Rattus norvegicus: one gene and its partners. The protein of the gene in region 4 purifies or fractionates together with the protein of the main gene of each other region. This does not show direct contact. Links are inferred from orthologs where the notes say so. Each region holds a gene or a part of one and is shown on either strand. Other genes may lie near its edges.

Region 1 (4,268 bases), about 70 Mb from region 4:
CCTGGGCCTAGCCTTCAATTTGAATTCCTCCTGACTCAGCTTCCCAAGTGCTGGGATTACAGATGTGTGTCATCATGCTAGCTAACAGGTCACTTTTGCCACAGAAAGCAGCATTTCCTGGTTTTGGCCTTCGTGCTGAGGGTTGAACCTAAGATGTGACATATACCAGGCAGGTACTCTGTCACTGAGCACCAAATCCTTATGCACCAAATCCCCATTAGTGGTGTCCCCCTGGGTATATCCATGCTAAGCTAAATCCTCATGAACTGTGTCCCTACTAAGCTAAAATCCCCCTGGGTATATCCATGCTAAGCTAAATTCCCATGACCTGTATCCCTACTAAGCTAAATCTCCCTGAGTATATCCATGCTAAGCTAAATCCCCATGAGTTGTATCCTAACTAAACTGCATAGACAGCCTCTTTATTTTGCCCCCCCCCCCCCTTTTTTTGAGAGGCTTCTTGTAGCCAAGGCTGGCTTTGAACTCCGGAACCTCTGGCCTCCCAAGTACTCAGATCACTTTCTAGTTTGAAACAGCTTCACCAAGCTGCTCAGGCAGACCCTGAACTTGGTATTCTCTTGCCTCAGCATCTCAAACAGCTGGGATAACAAGTCTGTGTCACAGGACTGGCTAAAGCCTGTATTTTAGTTCCTAGTTGGAGGGCAAGTGGTCTGATTCCTTTGTGCTCTTTGAAGCCACTAAGGCCTGAGATACATGCTCCTTCCCCTCCGCCCTTAGAGCCTGTGTGCTGTGGTGTGTGTGTGTGTGTGTGTGTGTGTGTGTGTGTGTGTATTATGTGGGTTGTTGTGAGGAATCTCAGTCTTAGTAGTGGTGACTATTGCAGTTTCTGGAGCCCTGGCTACCCCTCCTACAGGGTGGGTTTGTGAGAAGTCACCAGTGCTAGTCCAACATCCAGTCTTTGTCAAATTGGATCAGGCCTAACATATGGATGATGTCCCTTTATTCAGTGAGGGGCTGGTCATGGTGGATGCCTGAAGAGAGAGTAGGGTGGAGGGCTACTACGGGGGACACTAAGTTTGGGAGGGTTGGAACAGTATCCCGTGAAACAGCTTGTTTGGCCAAGGAATGGCTACCTGACAGTAGGCATCTGTGTCGTCTGAGCCTCTGTGCTGGGGCATCCATCCCCCTTGGCTTGGGGACTACACTGCTGAGTCATAAGCAGGCCCAAACCTGGGAGGAGCCTAGGCTCGGATACTTACCGGCCCTTTTCCCATCGAACTGAGACTGAGGCTGGTCTCTTGGGGTCACCCATGCATTCGGAGGGAAAGAAAAAGAGGAGGCGGTGGGGGCGTCTCGCCCCCATACCTGTCAGGGGTCCTATCAAGGGCCCTCGAGCGGCCGCCCGGACAGCGGGGAGGGGCGGAGCTCAGAGAGGTTCCGCCCCCCACGAGGCGGGGCTCCCCCCGTATCCTATAAAAGCTGGGCTCTCGGAGCCGCCGCTGCCCAGCTGTTTCCTCCGTACCTAGTCTGCGGTTATGGCTTCGCTCACGGTGAAGGCCTATCTACTGGGCAAGGAGGAGGCGGCCCGCGAGATCCGCCGCTTCAGCTTCTGCTTCAGCCCGGAGCCGGAGGCGGAAGCCGCGGCTGGCCCGGGGCCCTGCGAGAGGCTGCTGAGCCGGGTGGCTGTGCTGTTCCCCGCGCTGCGGCCTGGAGGCTTTCAGGCGCACTACCGCGGTAAGGGCTCGGGGCGGGGAAGCCATCCTCCCCCGCCGCGGAGTATCAGGTCTGGGCGAGGACGCGATGGCGTGTCCTCTGGCTGCCCGCGGGGACAGGGTGGTCAGGCGGCCGCTCAGGTTACAGCTGACATCCCGCGGTTCGCTTGCTCCTCGTATCATCAGGTGATGGGTTCAGTTAAAGGCCCGGAAGAGCTGGGACCGGGCAGATGTGGAGGAGGGGTGGAGAGCAGTGACGCGGGTAAATAAGCGGCGGGGGCGGGGTGGGGCAGCCCGTGGGAAGGGAGGTAGGGGACCCCGGAACTAGCTCCGTCTCTTGCGTTGCAGTGGTTGATGGCTGCATGGGGTGGAGCTAGAAGTTGTTGACAAGAGACTAGTGGACAAGGCCCTCCCCCTGGGAGGGGATAAGATTGAGATCTCTTTATGGAGGACTGTGGGTAGGCCAGGTTGGTTGATCAGTCTGTCTCTTTTCTGAGATAAAGCCACGTAGCCTGATTCGCCTTGAATTTACGAGTGGTTTAGGCTGGCCTCACTTCAATCCTCTTGTCTCAGCTTTCCAGTGCAGGAATCATAGGGATTATTCTGGACAAAAAATGTTCAGTGTAAGTGAGTTTTAACCTAGGTCCAGTACAATTCACCCAGGTCTTAATGTCCTTCCGAGTCATCTTTGTGCTAGGGCCTCATGTATGTTAGGCTCTCGACTGACTGAGCTACCACCCCGCCCCCCAAACTCCTTGCATTTTTTAAAAAGTGAGTTATATAACTATTATCACATTCGGTTTAGAATCTTTTTTTTTTTTATAAATTTTACGTGTGTGTGTGTATAGCCTAGCCTGATACACACACACACACACACACACACACACACATATATGTATATATATATATATATCCTAGCCTGCAGATGTGTGGTTTGTCCTGTATGAGGTGGTTGAAGACTGTTTGTACTGACATAGAAATATATGGCTGCGCTCCCAGTACCTGTGTGCTAATGTAAAAATGAAAGCAGATGGGTTTGAGAAATGACTCAGTGGTTAAAGCCTTTGCTGCTCTTCCAGAGGACCCAAGTTCTGTTCCTAGCGCTCATATCAACTGCAGCTCCTGGGGATCCCACACCCTCTTATGGCCTTCGTGGCACATGCATACACATAAGTGTGCATGTGTGTATGTGTGTGTGTGTGTCTGTGTGTTCAAGTGCGTACATACATATGTAAAAGTAAATATCAAAAGGCAAAAAAGAAAAAAAACCCAAAAAAACCCAAACCACTTGGCAGCTTGGTTGCATATGTTTGTGATCCCAGCACTAAGGAGGCTCACCTACACAAGTTGGAGGCTGTCCTGTTCTAAGCAGTCTCAGGCCAGGCAGGGCGCAGAAAACCTAGAATTGACAAAAACAAAACCAACAGAGCAACCTCAACCTCAGAACAACTTAGACAGCGTCTGAATGCACAGTGGTTTCTGGTCACGTAGTTGAAGGGAGGGGACAGATGGGCTTACCTCCTTTCCTTCTGAAGCCTGAGGCCTTTGAAGGGCTGGACCATCAGGACAGGGTACTGGCTGGAATCTCCCAGGTGAAAATGGACCTGGCCTACTTACGTGTGGCCTGAGGGCACAAATGGCCCAGTGGTTTGTGGCAGGAAGCTGGACCCTTACACACATGACATATGCTCTGCCTTGTGCATGTACCGGATCTAGGACTTGGGTTAGAACATGTACTCACGCCATATCAGAATGAGTGGCCATCTGGCTGCTTGCTCCAGCACTCAGATTGCGTCTAGAGCCTCTGTAGATGTCCCTTACCATTGGGCTCCCTGTACATAGCAGTGGGCATCCAGCAGATGCTGGGTACCTGTGCTGCCCTTTCGGCTTCTAGTTCTGGGAATGGCACCTAAGTCTTCTGCACGCTCCACCAATGAGCTGTGTCCCTGGCTCTGATATGTTGTTTCCTAAACAATCTAGATGAGGATGGGGACTTGGTCGCCTTCTCCAGTGATGAGGAACTGACAATGGCCATGTCCTATGTGAAAGATGACATCTTCCGCATCTACATTAAAGGTAAAGACTGCATCCAGGTACTTCCCATCGGACTTCCTCTAAGGCTCAGGGGTCTGAGTTGTCTCTAGGACAGAGATGAGTTCTGATGCCTTGGGGTGGATATAGGGGGGTTGGGAGGTGTCAGAGGTACAAAGGTCCTGCTGTGTGGGCCATGGGTGTTGAACAGAGCAGGGCTTGGTACCTCTTGGCCTCCTAAGTGGTTTACCTGCAACTAAATTGGACTCTTGGACTCTCCCTGCAGAGAAGAAGGAGTGCCGGCGGGAACATCGCCCCCCATGTGCTCAGGAGGCACGAAGCATGGTGCACCCCAACGTGATTTGTGATGGTTGCAATGGGCCTGTGGTGGGAACTCGCTATAAGTGCAGTGTGTGCCCCGACTACGACCTGTGCAGCGTCTGCGAGGGGAAGGGCCTGCACAGGGAGCACAGCAAGCTCATCTTTCCCAACCCCTTTGGCCACCTCTCTGATGTGAGCTGGTTCTCTGCAGTCCTGGGGCGGTGTCGGACAGGGTGGTGGGAG
Region 2 (3,315 bases), about 91 Mb from region 4:
ACTCCACGTGCGTGTAGCGCCCCGGGGGAAGGGAACCTGTAAGCTGGGGCATGACCTGGCGCGCGCTAAGTCGATACGGGGTGGTAGTGGCCACTGAGACGCCCCATGTCCAACTCCAGGTTACTTGCGACCTGTTCGGCTGACCAGACGTGTAAAATCTGGAGGACATCCAACTTCTCCCTGATGACAGAACTCAGCATCAAGAGTAGTAACCCCGGAGAGTCATCCCGTGGCTGGATGTGGGGCTGCGCCTTCTCAGGGGATTCCCAGTATATCGTCACAGGTAAGCCCTGCCCTCCTCTCCCCCACACACTGCCAAGTCCGCCAGAGAGGCCACTCATAGCTGCTACCTCACTTCTGCCTGATCTCTCCTTGCAGCTTCTTCAGACAACCTGGCCCGGCTCTGGTGTGTAGAGACTGGAGAGATCAAGAGAGAGTATGGTGGCCATCAGAAAGCTGTCGTCTGCTTGGCCTTCAACGACAGCGTGCTGGGCTAGCCCCTGCCCCTTGAGGGCTGCACTGGGCAACCAGGACTGCCTGGTCTAGTGGCTCTAAGAGGATGTACCTGAACAATACCCTGCTCCAAGTGAGACTCAGGTCAGCCTCTGCATATCAGGCCAGTGGGACCTGACCCGACTACCCTCGGCCCCTCTTGGCCAACCTAGACTTTTTGGCTACTCTACCCTGGGACTTTCTCCGTGCCCAGATCTGTTGTCAGAAAGCTCACAAAGCCAGGCTGCATGTGCCTGGATTGGGAGTCTTCTCCCTTTAGAGAGACCAGACCTAGAGTGCTTGGAACTGTTGAGGACATCGGAGGTTGATGCCTGTATCCCAGGTATGTTACCCCCGCTTGCTTCAGAAATTACCACCATGGCCAGGCAATCTGGGTTTATTCATCCCTACCGTCAGCTGCCTTCCAAAGGTACTGGTGACCTGGCAGCTGGCTGACCTGTGGGAGCAAAGGTCGGGAGGACTTGGTAGGGGGTCTTAGTCTGGGAGGTAATAAAAGCAGACAGACACGCAGATGTTGCTCGGGAAGCAGATGTCAATGCAGAGGTAGATCAGCCGCTGTCTCTGGGGCCCTGAGGAGAAGGGAACTTCATGAATCCCAAGGGCCCCCTAACCAGTATTGTTCTGCAGGAGCCATAGGCCTCTTCACCCAGCCTACCCCAACTTACCCTCTGCCCACCGGGCCCAGTAGATAGGAGTGTCTGCACAAAGGTGTTGCACTGAAGCTCCCACTTGGGTAGGGTCCACAGCATGGCCTCCCAAAACTGCCAGCAGTTCCTGGGCATAGTGGGTGTCCTGGCCAGGTACATGTGACTCTTGGGCCTGCAGAAAGACTCTGGTGGGTCATGGTATAGTACTTCCTTGCTCCTGGCTGGGTAGGGCATTCATGCCCACCCCAGCCTGATGGCCCTTCCACCTGCCCTTGTCAACAGCCTTCGTCAGGGGAAGATAGAGCTTTCTGTTCCCCTGAAACCAGAGCCTTGGCTGGCCCAGCTGGGCTGTACAGAGGACCTTTTGTTTATGCCCTGGCCTTGGGGGTTTGTGGGTGGCAAGCCAAGTAGTACTGCTCACCCTGGAAGTGTTCAGCAGCAGCTGCAGGGTCTCCCAATCTTGGGCTTCCATCAGACGGAGGAAGCAGGCCTGGTGCTCTGCAGGGCGGTAACAGATGTAGCCCTGGAGGAGCAGATAGGTAAGTGGAGGCCACTCCTGACACCTTCATTCTCTCCCCCTCCCAAGCCCACTCACACTTTGCCCGTCGAAGAGCACAGCCCAGCTGTGGTTGCTCTGAAACGGAGTCACCATGATGGTCGCCATGTTCTGGGCCACATCCACTAGAGTGGTTTGATTGGGCCAGGGTACCCGGGAGCTCAGGAAGGTCTTTCGGAGCATCTGCAGCAATGGCTAAGGGGTATTTGGGATTCAGCCTTAACCTATGTTTCCATATCCTCTGGCTCCATGCGAGAGCTGACAGGTACTGGCCTTCCTGCCCTCTTTCCACTCTGCATACCCTGGAAGAGGTGCTTACCTTGGAAGGGCTGTATGTGAAACCAAGAAGCCCTCCAGCCACGGCCCCTGCAGTGAGCAGTGTCAGCATCAGCAGCAAGCCTGCTGCTCTCCAGCCCCTGTAGCAGGGTTTGGTCTTCACCTGAGGGCACAGTACTAGCTGTGGGGCTTCGGGCTTAGAGACTCGGGAGCCGACTTGCTCAGGGAAAGGGCTGAGGATGGTAGGTGGTGACTCCTGTCTCCTCCTATGGCATCCCTGAGTTCTTGTCTTGGGGGTGGTAGAGACTTACCTCAACAGGCTTGGACCTGAGGCTCTCAGTGAGGATGTGCCCCTGCTTCATGCTGCAGCCCCTGCTGACAATGCACTGATTGTCTGCAGCCCCTTGGAGGAGTCAGCCAGGGAAACCTCAGGATGCCTTTGATGAATCGAACTGTATCCTCCCCTCCCAACCCCACCGCTTCCTTCCCAGCCAGTATCTGATAGCCTGCCTCAGAGCCAGGACAACCCTCTCCCCCACTTGTGATTGCTGGTTACCAGGTTTGTCCCTGGACTCTTGGCCTGTGCAGAACATGGGATTTTGGAGTGTGTGTGAGCTGGCCTTGATGTTAGAATTGGCTAGGTCTTGGCCAGGGTGACTTTTGTCTGGTTGGGCAGATTTTTTTCTTGGTGTGTTACCTCTGGACTCCTGAGCTAGACACAGGAACCATCAATAAATGTGTATGAACCATCAGTATGAGGCTAATTGCTTTGTCTTTTTCTTTTTTCTGGAGCTGAGGACCGAACCCAGGGCCTCGCGCTTGCTAGGCAAGCGCTCTACCACTGAGCTAAATCCCCAACCTCGACTAATTACTTTCTTAACTTCCCTCACAAACTCCTCAGCTTCTTTCAAGACCCCATTAGCATCAGATGGGGCTGTTGGATTTTTCCATGTGCATGACTGCTTCAGCTTGTTTCACATTAAGTGTGGTTAGGCCAGTCTCTGTTCCCTGGCATGTTTTCTAATCTAGCACTCTTGTCTTGGCCCCTTATCTGTCTAGCTATGTGACATGGTGGTTCAATGTACGTATGTCCACAGTACTTTACCCAATGGCTTTACGCCATGTACTTCCTGTTTCTTTAGAACCTGTTCCTTATAGGCAGGGTGGGGCTACAGTGGCCATGTCCACTGTGAATGATTTTGGGAGTTGGAATCCCAGCCGCCTGCCTTGCTCCCACCCATATAGACAGCTGCTACTCGAAGAAATTAGAGGAAGGCAGACCTAATCATTGTGGGTTTGAGTTTAATGTGCATTTGAGGTCAC
Region 3 (3,307 bases), on a different chromosome or scaffold from region 4:
TGACAGTGCAGATCTGGTGGCACAGCTCCGAGCTGCTCACAGTGAAGGCCGTATAACTGCTGGACTGGGTAAGAAATCAAATGGACTTCTGCATATTTGGACTTTATACATATGCATTTCTATTGACACACACACACACACACACACACACACACACACACACGATGCACTTTGGTCATATCCCCTTCCCTTTGTTCTCATAACACCTTTCTCCATCACTGAACCCTTTGTTTCCAGATCCCTCTCCTGCTCACATGGGCGGAAGGTTATTTACTTGGATAAAGGTGCCTTCTCAAGGCTGTACCCTGAGGAATATGACTCATCCTTCCCCAGCAGCCATAGTAGCTTGTCAGTGAGGATGGGCCTGTAGGAGCCCCTTTCTTCTCAATGATAGATGGAATGTTAATGGGCCTCTCAGGTCCAGAAGGTAGCACTCCAGAGCATCCTCCTCCTCCAACTCTTTGTTCCTTCTACCCTACACTGCAGTGTTCTCAGAGACCTGTTGAGGGCCGAGCACTCAGGCATTTGTTTCCTGTACTTTCCCCAGTCACAAGGCTCCCCACGGACTCTGTCTGCTGCAGCTTCTCTGAGCAAGGCAGCCCCACTCTGAGCATATGAACCTAGCCCTCTAGACCTGCAGCTCTGCTGCCAGGCTTAACAGTTGTTCTTGCCATGGTTTTTAATAGTGCTTTTATAGATGACCTAGTTAAATCAGGCACTTAGGTGCAGTAACAGCTTTAGTTTTATTACAAATCATCAGGTAAGATGTTTTAATGCCTTTTGTTATTACTTTAATAACTGCCTTTTCAGATATGAAGGAAGGCAGCATTGGTGATATGGCAGTACTGGGTATAACCGAGAGCTTTCAAGTGAAGCGGCAGGTTCTTTTGAGTGCGGCGGAAGCAGCAGAGGTGATTCTACGAGTGGACAACATCATCAAAGCGGCACCAAGGTACTAGAGCGCTTGCACTCCTGGGACAGTGTACTGAGACAGAGTCCAGGGAGCTTGATAGTTGTATTTAACGGGACAGTTATTTTAGTAGACTGTTACATAAGCTATCTAAAATATGTAGTCATAGTTCTTAAGATTAGAAAGGCTTAGGAAGAAAGTGGTTTGGGTAGCCAGGGGCCCACTCATCTTGGAAGGACTAAAGAGCCAGGCTTATGAAAGTCAAGGATCAGGGAGCTGTGAGTGTCTGAGCTTCAAGCACTAAGACGGCAGGTGCCCTACACATGCATGGCTCATAAACATTCTCAAGTACCCATTGACAAGTCCTTTCCAGGTTCATATTGTAGAAAGTAACTAAGTTCTCTTTAAAATGCTGTCACACAGAAGTGGTTAAATTAAGTGCATCCGTCTGCTTCATGTTGCTGTGTCAAATTGTGACGACGGAAGGATTTATTTGGGTTCACAGATTTAGATGTTTCAGTTCCTACTGCCTTGGGGTAGAATAGTTGCCACTGAGGAAAAGGAAAAGAGTGTGCCCAGGATGCCAAGTGAAAAGAAGGTGGCGACAGTTTACTTAGAACCTGGGCCTTAGCAACATTGGTTTGACATGCAGTGTTAGTGGAGTGGTGGGGATAAACTTAATCCTATAGAAGGTTCAAAAAAGAAAACTCAAAGTACAGTCTCCCTCAGAAAGGGGAAATTGAAGTGCAGGTTGCAGTTTTGAAGTGTTCTGTAAGTGAACAGAGAAGCTGCCATTAAAGGAAGCCCAAATATCTTAAGTGGAAGATTGTTAGATGCAAGTTTAAAATTCTTTAACTTTGAAACTTCGGAGAGTTCCTGGGGGTGCTCGCTAATTGTCCCAGAATCTCACATATGTGGATTTTTAAAATTCTCACTTTTTCTCACACTGTATAATTCGAAAATGTTTAAAAGCATTTTAAAACAAATATAAAGTTAAAATTTCACTGATATGCCTGCCGTCCCTTTGCAACAGTTCGTTATGTCTCCGTCACTGTGCGTGCGGTCACTGGAGAATTAGGCATGAGGGATGATTATGGCACAGTGTGTTCTCTGCTCTAGCGGATCTGTGGGCAGTCCTGTGCTCCTGAGTAGATTGTCGTCCAGGACCCCTGTGTCGTTGTTTGGCTTTGATTTGATGTATCTGTCTGATGAATTTGGTAAACTTTCCTAATCCTGACATTCAAAAACATGAAGTAAGCCAAGTATAGTAGTATATTCCTTAGAAACTGAGACAGAAGGATTGCAAGTTCAAGTCTAGTCTTAGGGTATATAGTAAAGCAAAAACCAGGTTAGCCTTTTGGGGGAGGTATATTGTTTAGTAAGTAGGTTGTTTGGGTCAGACACAGAACTGTTGGGTACAGGCCTACATGATGCATGAGTTTTCCTGTGTCCTCTTAAAGTGTGACTGATTGAGTGGTGTTACGTCCTTATGGGAAGTGGACCCACAGTGACTTTAGTGAGACAAAGGTTCTTGTATTTGTAGTCATTGAGAATCTAGTTGAAATCAGACTTCTCATTTTTTTACTTTTTGTTAATGTGATTTTTTTTCTTATAGGAAACGTGTCCCTGATCACCACCCCTGTTAAGCATTCCCATTTGCTGTTGAACTCTGGACCAGTTCATAGCAAAGCTGTATTTGAAAGACTTCACCCTTTAAAGAAGACTATGGAATTGCTGTGTCCATGACAGCCTTAAGTTTGAACATTTAGCTGACCTTCTGTGTTAAACATGGGTCTAATTTATTTGCTATTTCATTTTCCATACAGTTCAGTTGATTTACAGGTTCATTTCTCATACTGTGTATTAAAATAAAAAATCAGTTACTTAGTCCTTAATGTCTTAGTGATCTGTATATATCATATCCTATTTGAAATCTACTTATGGAAGCAATCATTCCTCGGTGAAGAGTTGTTTCAGCCTAATCAATTCCTGACTTTATCCTTTTATAAAGTAATTGATTATGCATACACACACACTCAGTCATGCATAGCTTTTACTGAACATTAATTTAGAGTAGAAGTACCATAAGGTACAGTTCTGATTTAGTTTAATATAAGTGCCCTTTCTTATTTACGTTAGACAACACTGTTCAAGTTTGGAAAAGTGACATTTAACTGTCCACCTCTCTCTGGTGCCTTAAGAAGATAACTTCTTCCTAAGATAGTGCGTTTGTTTAGATGATAGTATGACTGTTTTGTTAGGTAGAGAACTGAAATGTATTGGGCTTAATTTACACTTGACATAGATGCGAAAGTTAATCAGAATATTGCAGAGTGCACAGAATTGAAGATTGCCGAAAAGCTTAGATTTACTGGCTGCCAGAGCATCAGGGTGCCC
Region 4 (4,329 bases):
GGACATCTCTGAAGACTAAGGTTGGAGGAATTATCATGTGGGGACGGCACCTGTGGGCATCAGAACTACAAAATAAAGTAGAGGGACAAGGTGGAAGCAGGAGATGCTGGGATTTCTTCTAGACATCCCGGAAGTCCTGAAGCCCCTGCTGGTGGTGATGGGGAGGGGCTGGTGGTGATGGGGACACTATTTTGGAGCACTGCTCCGAGACTAGGAGGATAATGGGCTCTGTGTGATACTGTAACCACAGGAATTCTTGGGATGATAACTGAACAGAGAGCTACAGGAAACACTTCCCACATACTGGTGAGAGAGATGCAGCCTGAACTCTCCGGCTGAAAGCAGCTCAGATGCTACTAGGATTGTGGTAGGGACTGCCACTTTATGTCCAACTCTCTATCTACTCTGAGGAACACATCTTTGGAAGGCTAATCCAGGCTTTAGTGGTAAGGCATACAGTTGGTAGACTACTTTAGAGTGGTGGGACCAGTCAGAGTTCACTCTCATTGGTGGCCTGCTATGTCTTGGCATCTTGTTTGTTTGTTGTTTTTGTTTTTCATGGCAGGGTTTCTCTGTGTAGCCCTGGTTCTCATGGAACTACTAGCTTCGTAGACCAGGTTGGCCTCCAACTAAGAGATCTTCCTGCCTCTGCCTCCAGAGTAATGAGATTAAACACTGGGCCCACCTTTCAACCCTGTTCTTAAAGGGGATTTTTTTTTCTTTAAAGACAGGGTCTTATTTTGTAGCTTAGGGTGGCCTGGGCATCTTCACAAGCTAATTTTATCCTTTCAGTAATATTCTTTAATATTATTATCCAAACTTTATGGTTCAGGAACCTAAGGCTGAGAAAATACAGCTTGAAATTAGTAACACTGACTCTAACAGAGATGCCTCCAACACCAAAGCTGAAGATGGGCTCCTTCGTCTGCCTGAAATCTAGCTAAAGGTTAAGAGTGTCTCACTAGCACCCTGGTTATGAAAGGCTGGCACATGTTACGTTTACTTTATATCCCCACTGCACCAAAGCAGTTCTCAGGGTGTGTCAATAACTGAGATTTACTGAATTGAAACAGAGAAGTAAGGCAGGGCAGGAGGCTTGCTTCCGTGGGCAGACAGCAGCAGCCTTAGTCGTTTGCACATGAAGCTGTAGCAAAATAAGAGTATAATACTCAGGAAATAAGGTAGATCAGACAAAATTAATTCATAATCGATGAAATCTTTCCCTTTTTAAAAGTGGGAATATTAAAAACAAAGCCCTGATAGTGTTATGTGTCTAATATCAACAACAGTCCTTTCTGAGGTTTTTTTTAAATAGCACCCTTTAAAATCAGGACGAAACAAAGTGATTTTTTTTTTTCCTTTAATATCAAGGCACGCAGCTTTGTTTGTAGTAGCAAAAAGCTTTTAAAAAATAACTGAACGGACATGGTTTCAATCGCAGGATTGATTTTGTAACACGTCTACTTTACTAGTGGAGATCAACTAAGGAGAAAGGACTTGGTAACCCGGGTAACGGCGTGGGGGAGGGGAGGACGGAACGCCGAACTCTCCGCCCTAGCCTGGGTAGAGCGGTGAGAACGCTTGAAGAGGTTTGGCTTATTGGACACACCGTAGACAGCGGTGCATGCTGGGCCTTGGTAATATGGCGTCCTCCTTGATGTGCTGATGAGAGGAGTTTTCACTGTGGCTCCAGAGCAGAGGGCAAAACTCCCCTGACCTAATAAGCCCAGTATTCCCGTGTGGTCCGCTGGCCCGTGTCGCGCGTGTATCAGGACTCGTTCCCGGGCAGGAGAGAGCCACGAAGCCGAAGGCCAGCACCGGCCAGGCCGCGCGGACCCGGGGCTGAGGAGCCGACTGCGGACGGGCACGATGGGCCGGTCCTGGCTCAGGTTGCAGCCCCTCAGGCGAGTGCGGGACCCGCAGGGCTGAGAGCCGCTGGACGAGCCCCGAAGCCCCCTGAGCGCGATCCCCTGACGCCTCAGCCGAGCCAGCGCAATCAGAGAACCCGCACTGCGAGCGGGACGGCCTGCCTGCCCTGGGATCCACTGAGGCGTTGGAGGCCGAGAGCAGGGTCATCCCCGGGCCTGAAGTCTTTCCCGCCTCTGACAGTCCGGCTTGCAGTCCTCCAGACGACCTCCTGGGCTGCGGGTGGCTTGCGACTGGGCGCGAGTGTCGGCGCAGCTCCTGGGGCTGCGGGGTTGGTTACCCACCGATTCTTCACCCCACCCCACCCCGCCCTCTCCGACTTCCCGCTCAGAGTTCGAGATAAAGATCTCCGAGTTTTTACCTGAATAAGGACCTTCGTGCACTCTGCCGTCATCTCTATTCCCAACTTCCCGCTTTCCTGTATTTCCTTTTACCAGTTCTGGTACACACTAGTTTTTAAGGCTGGAGGTTCTCGAGCGCTTGCTGCCAAGGACTCCCCCTCCCCCTCCTCCCCTGATGGAGTCGGAGATGCTGCAGTCGCCTCTTATGGGACTCGGGGAGGAAGATGAGGCAGACCTTACAGATTGGAACTTGCCTTTGGCGTTTATGAAAAAGAGACATTGTGAGAAAATTGAAGGCTCCAAATCTTTAGCACAGAGCTGGAGAATGAAGGATCGGGTAAGTAGATTCTCATGGCATCTTTTTGAGTTCATAGTTTTCCAACTAAGAAAGTTCTGAGCAAGAACAGCCTCTCCTAGAAGAATGCTGGTATTTTGAAGCCACATGTTGCACGTTAATTAAAAACTAAAAGTTATTCCAGACTCTGGTTTTGGTTGAAAGTGGGTAGGGCTAGTCGATACTCACTGGGTAGTGTTAATTCAAAAGAGTTTTAATTCAGAGGGTGGAAAAAGCAAATTAGGAACTGTTGTTCCACAGATATTTATGTGCCTTTTAATACACTTAGTAGCATTTAGAGAAAAGACAATTTTGGAAATAACACTTAACGTCGTGCTTAGTCTATTTTTGTATCTGCTGTTTTTTTGTTTTTTGTTTTTTTTTTTTTCCAAATAACCAGGTTGAAGTACAGGTGTCTGGTACAGTATGTTGGGAAACGATTACTTGAAATGTTTAGCCAATAACAAATTAAGGCAAAGTTATTTTAAAGTTGCAGCAAGTTTCATCCCAGTCCTTTGAACATCTTCCGTGGGAGGCTGACTCCCCTAGTATGTGACTTCTGGTCGCTGTAACCTGGAGATATTTCCTCAGTGGGAAATTTGGGAGCATGGGGTATGATGGGTTGGAACCTGGGTTCAGGTTTTAGGCCGTTCTCCTGCCGGTGGAGTGTCATGAGTAGTTGTAGCAAAGAAAACAGCCAGATGTAGCGGTCAGTTCCTGATCTAGCAAAAGGGGAGTACTGTCTCTTGTCTGCACACTCATCCTTTGAGTGCTTAGTTGTTTTCTCCTTCCTGACTTTGTACATTTGTGTGAACTTTTCAGTATAAAAGAGGAAGTTGGTGTTATAATGTGTCATTTGTTATAGTTGATATGCTTTTACTTGAGACAGTTGTTTTAAAAAGGTGTATATTGATGAATACTCAATGTAGTTCTAGCAGGGACCAGTGTTTCAGTTTGGGTAAATTTTACAAGGCTATCAATTTTTGTTGCTGATGTTGTTGTTGTTTGAGACAGGGTTTCTCTGTAACATCCCTGGCTGTCGAGAAACTCAATCTGTAGACTAGGTTGGCCTTGAACTCAGAGATCTGCCTGCCTTTGCCTACTGAGTGCTGGGATTAAAGTTATGAAAATTTCCTTCAGTGAAAAGCAGTTTAGGTTGGGCAAAGGTCAGTCAGTCCTGTAATCCCAACACTCTGGAGCTTAAAGCAGGAGAATCACAAGTCAAGGCCAGCCTGGACTACAAAGTGCAGACCCTGTCTTAAACAAGAAGAATAGAAGCAATATAAGTTATAGAACTGATGGTTGAGAGAGACTGCATAATGTCTGTTTTATAGACATGTCTAGTACTAACAAAATAACATTTTCTTTTTGGTTGTAATGTTTATATATAGCAACTCTCTCCCTTTCCCCCCTCCCCAGTCCTATTTTGTCCAGTTTTTATTTAAAATTTTTTTTTCCTCCTTTTGAATGTGGTTCCTTTTTTTTTTTTTTTTCTTTTTTTCGGAGCTGGGGACTGAACCCAGAATGTGGTTCCTTTTGCTATCCAAACCTGTACTCAAACTATTGAAATCACATCAATGGATATCTTTTGAACTTTTAATTTAAAATGTTTCTCTCTTTGGAGACAGGGCTTTATGTAGTGCAGGCCAGCTTGGTGTTTAGTCAGAATGGCCTTGGCCTGGTTCATCCACCTCCCAAGTGTTAGGATTACAGATGTGTACCACTGTA

The links.
Region 1: the proteins of Rptor (region 4) and Sqstm1 purify together in Homo sapiens (affinity purification with western blotting; 3 studies listed by BioGRID). This does not show direct contact. The link is inferred for Rattus norvegicus from reciprocal best matches to the Homo sapiens genes RPTOR and SQSTM1.
Region 2: the proteins of Rptor (region 4) and Mlst8 purify together in Homo sapiens (affinity purification with western blotting; 15 studies listed by BioGRID and IntAct, with this or other methods). This does not show direct contact. The link is inferred for Rattus norvegicus from reciprocal best matches to the Homo sapiens genes RPTOR and MLST8.
Region 3: the proteins of Rptor (region 4) and Cct2 purify together in Homo sapiens (affinity purification with mass spectrometry; 3 studies listed by BioGRID and IntAct, with this or other methods). This does not show direct contact. The link is inferred for Rattus norvegicus from reciprocal best matches to the Homo sapiens genes RPTOR and CCT2.

Annotation. Positions count from the first base shown.
Region 1 is NC_086028.1:35,034,945-35,039,212, reverse strand, and holds the start of Sqstm1 (sequestosome-1), read left to right. Parts: upstream 1-1,462; 5' UTR 1,463-1,496; coding exon 1,497-1,695; intron 1,696-3,653; coding exon 3,654-3,749; intron 3,750-3,990; coding exon 3,991-4,217; intron 4,218-4,268. UniProt on the Homo sapiens protein: Molecular adapter required for selective macroautophagy (aggrephagy) by acting as a bridge between polyubiquitinated proteins and autophagosomes.
Region 2 is NC_086028.1:14,002,368-14,005,682, reverse strand, and holds the end of Mlst8 (target of rapamycin complex subunit LST8), read left to right. Parts: coding exon 1-7; intron 8-119; coding exon 120-283; intron 284-378; coding exon 379-497; 3' UTR 498-987; coding exon of another isoform or gene 988-1,082; 3' UTR 1,083-1,178; coding exon of another isoform or gene 1,179-1,332; 3' UTR 1,333-1,581; coding exon of another isoform or gene 1,582-1,683; 3' UTR 1,684-1,755; coding exon of another isoform or gene 1,756-1,911; 3' UTR 1,912-2,035; coding exon of another isoform or gene 2,036-2,104; 3' UTR 2,105-2,756; downstream 2,757-3,315. Other genes in the region: Bricd5 (BRICHOS domain-containing protein 5), read right to left, coding at 988-1,082, 1,179-1,332, 1,582-1,683, 1,756-1,911, 2,036-2,104.
Region 3 is NC_086025.1:54,578,152-54,581,458, reverse strand, and holds the end of Cct2 (T-complex protein 1 subunit beta), read left to right. Parts: coding exon 1-68; intron 69-810; coding exon 811-952; intron 953-2,525; coding exon 2,526-2,556; 3' UTR 2,557-2,797; downstream 2,798-3,307. UniProt on the Homo sapiens protein: Component of the chaperonin-containing T-complex (TRiC), a molecular chaperone complex that assists the folding of actin, tubulin and other proteins upon ATP hydrolysis.
Region 4 is NC_086028.1:105,375,414-105,379,742, forward strand, and holds the start of Rptor (regulatory-associated protein of mTOR), read left to right. Parts: upstream 1-1,529; 5' UTR 1,530-2,442; coding exon 2,443-2,604; intron 2,605-4,329. UniProt on the Homo sapiens protein: Component of the mechanistic target of rapamycin complex 1 (mTORC1), an evolutionarily conserved central nutrient sensor that stimulates anabolic reactions and macromolecule biosynthesis to promote cellular biomass generation and growth.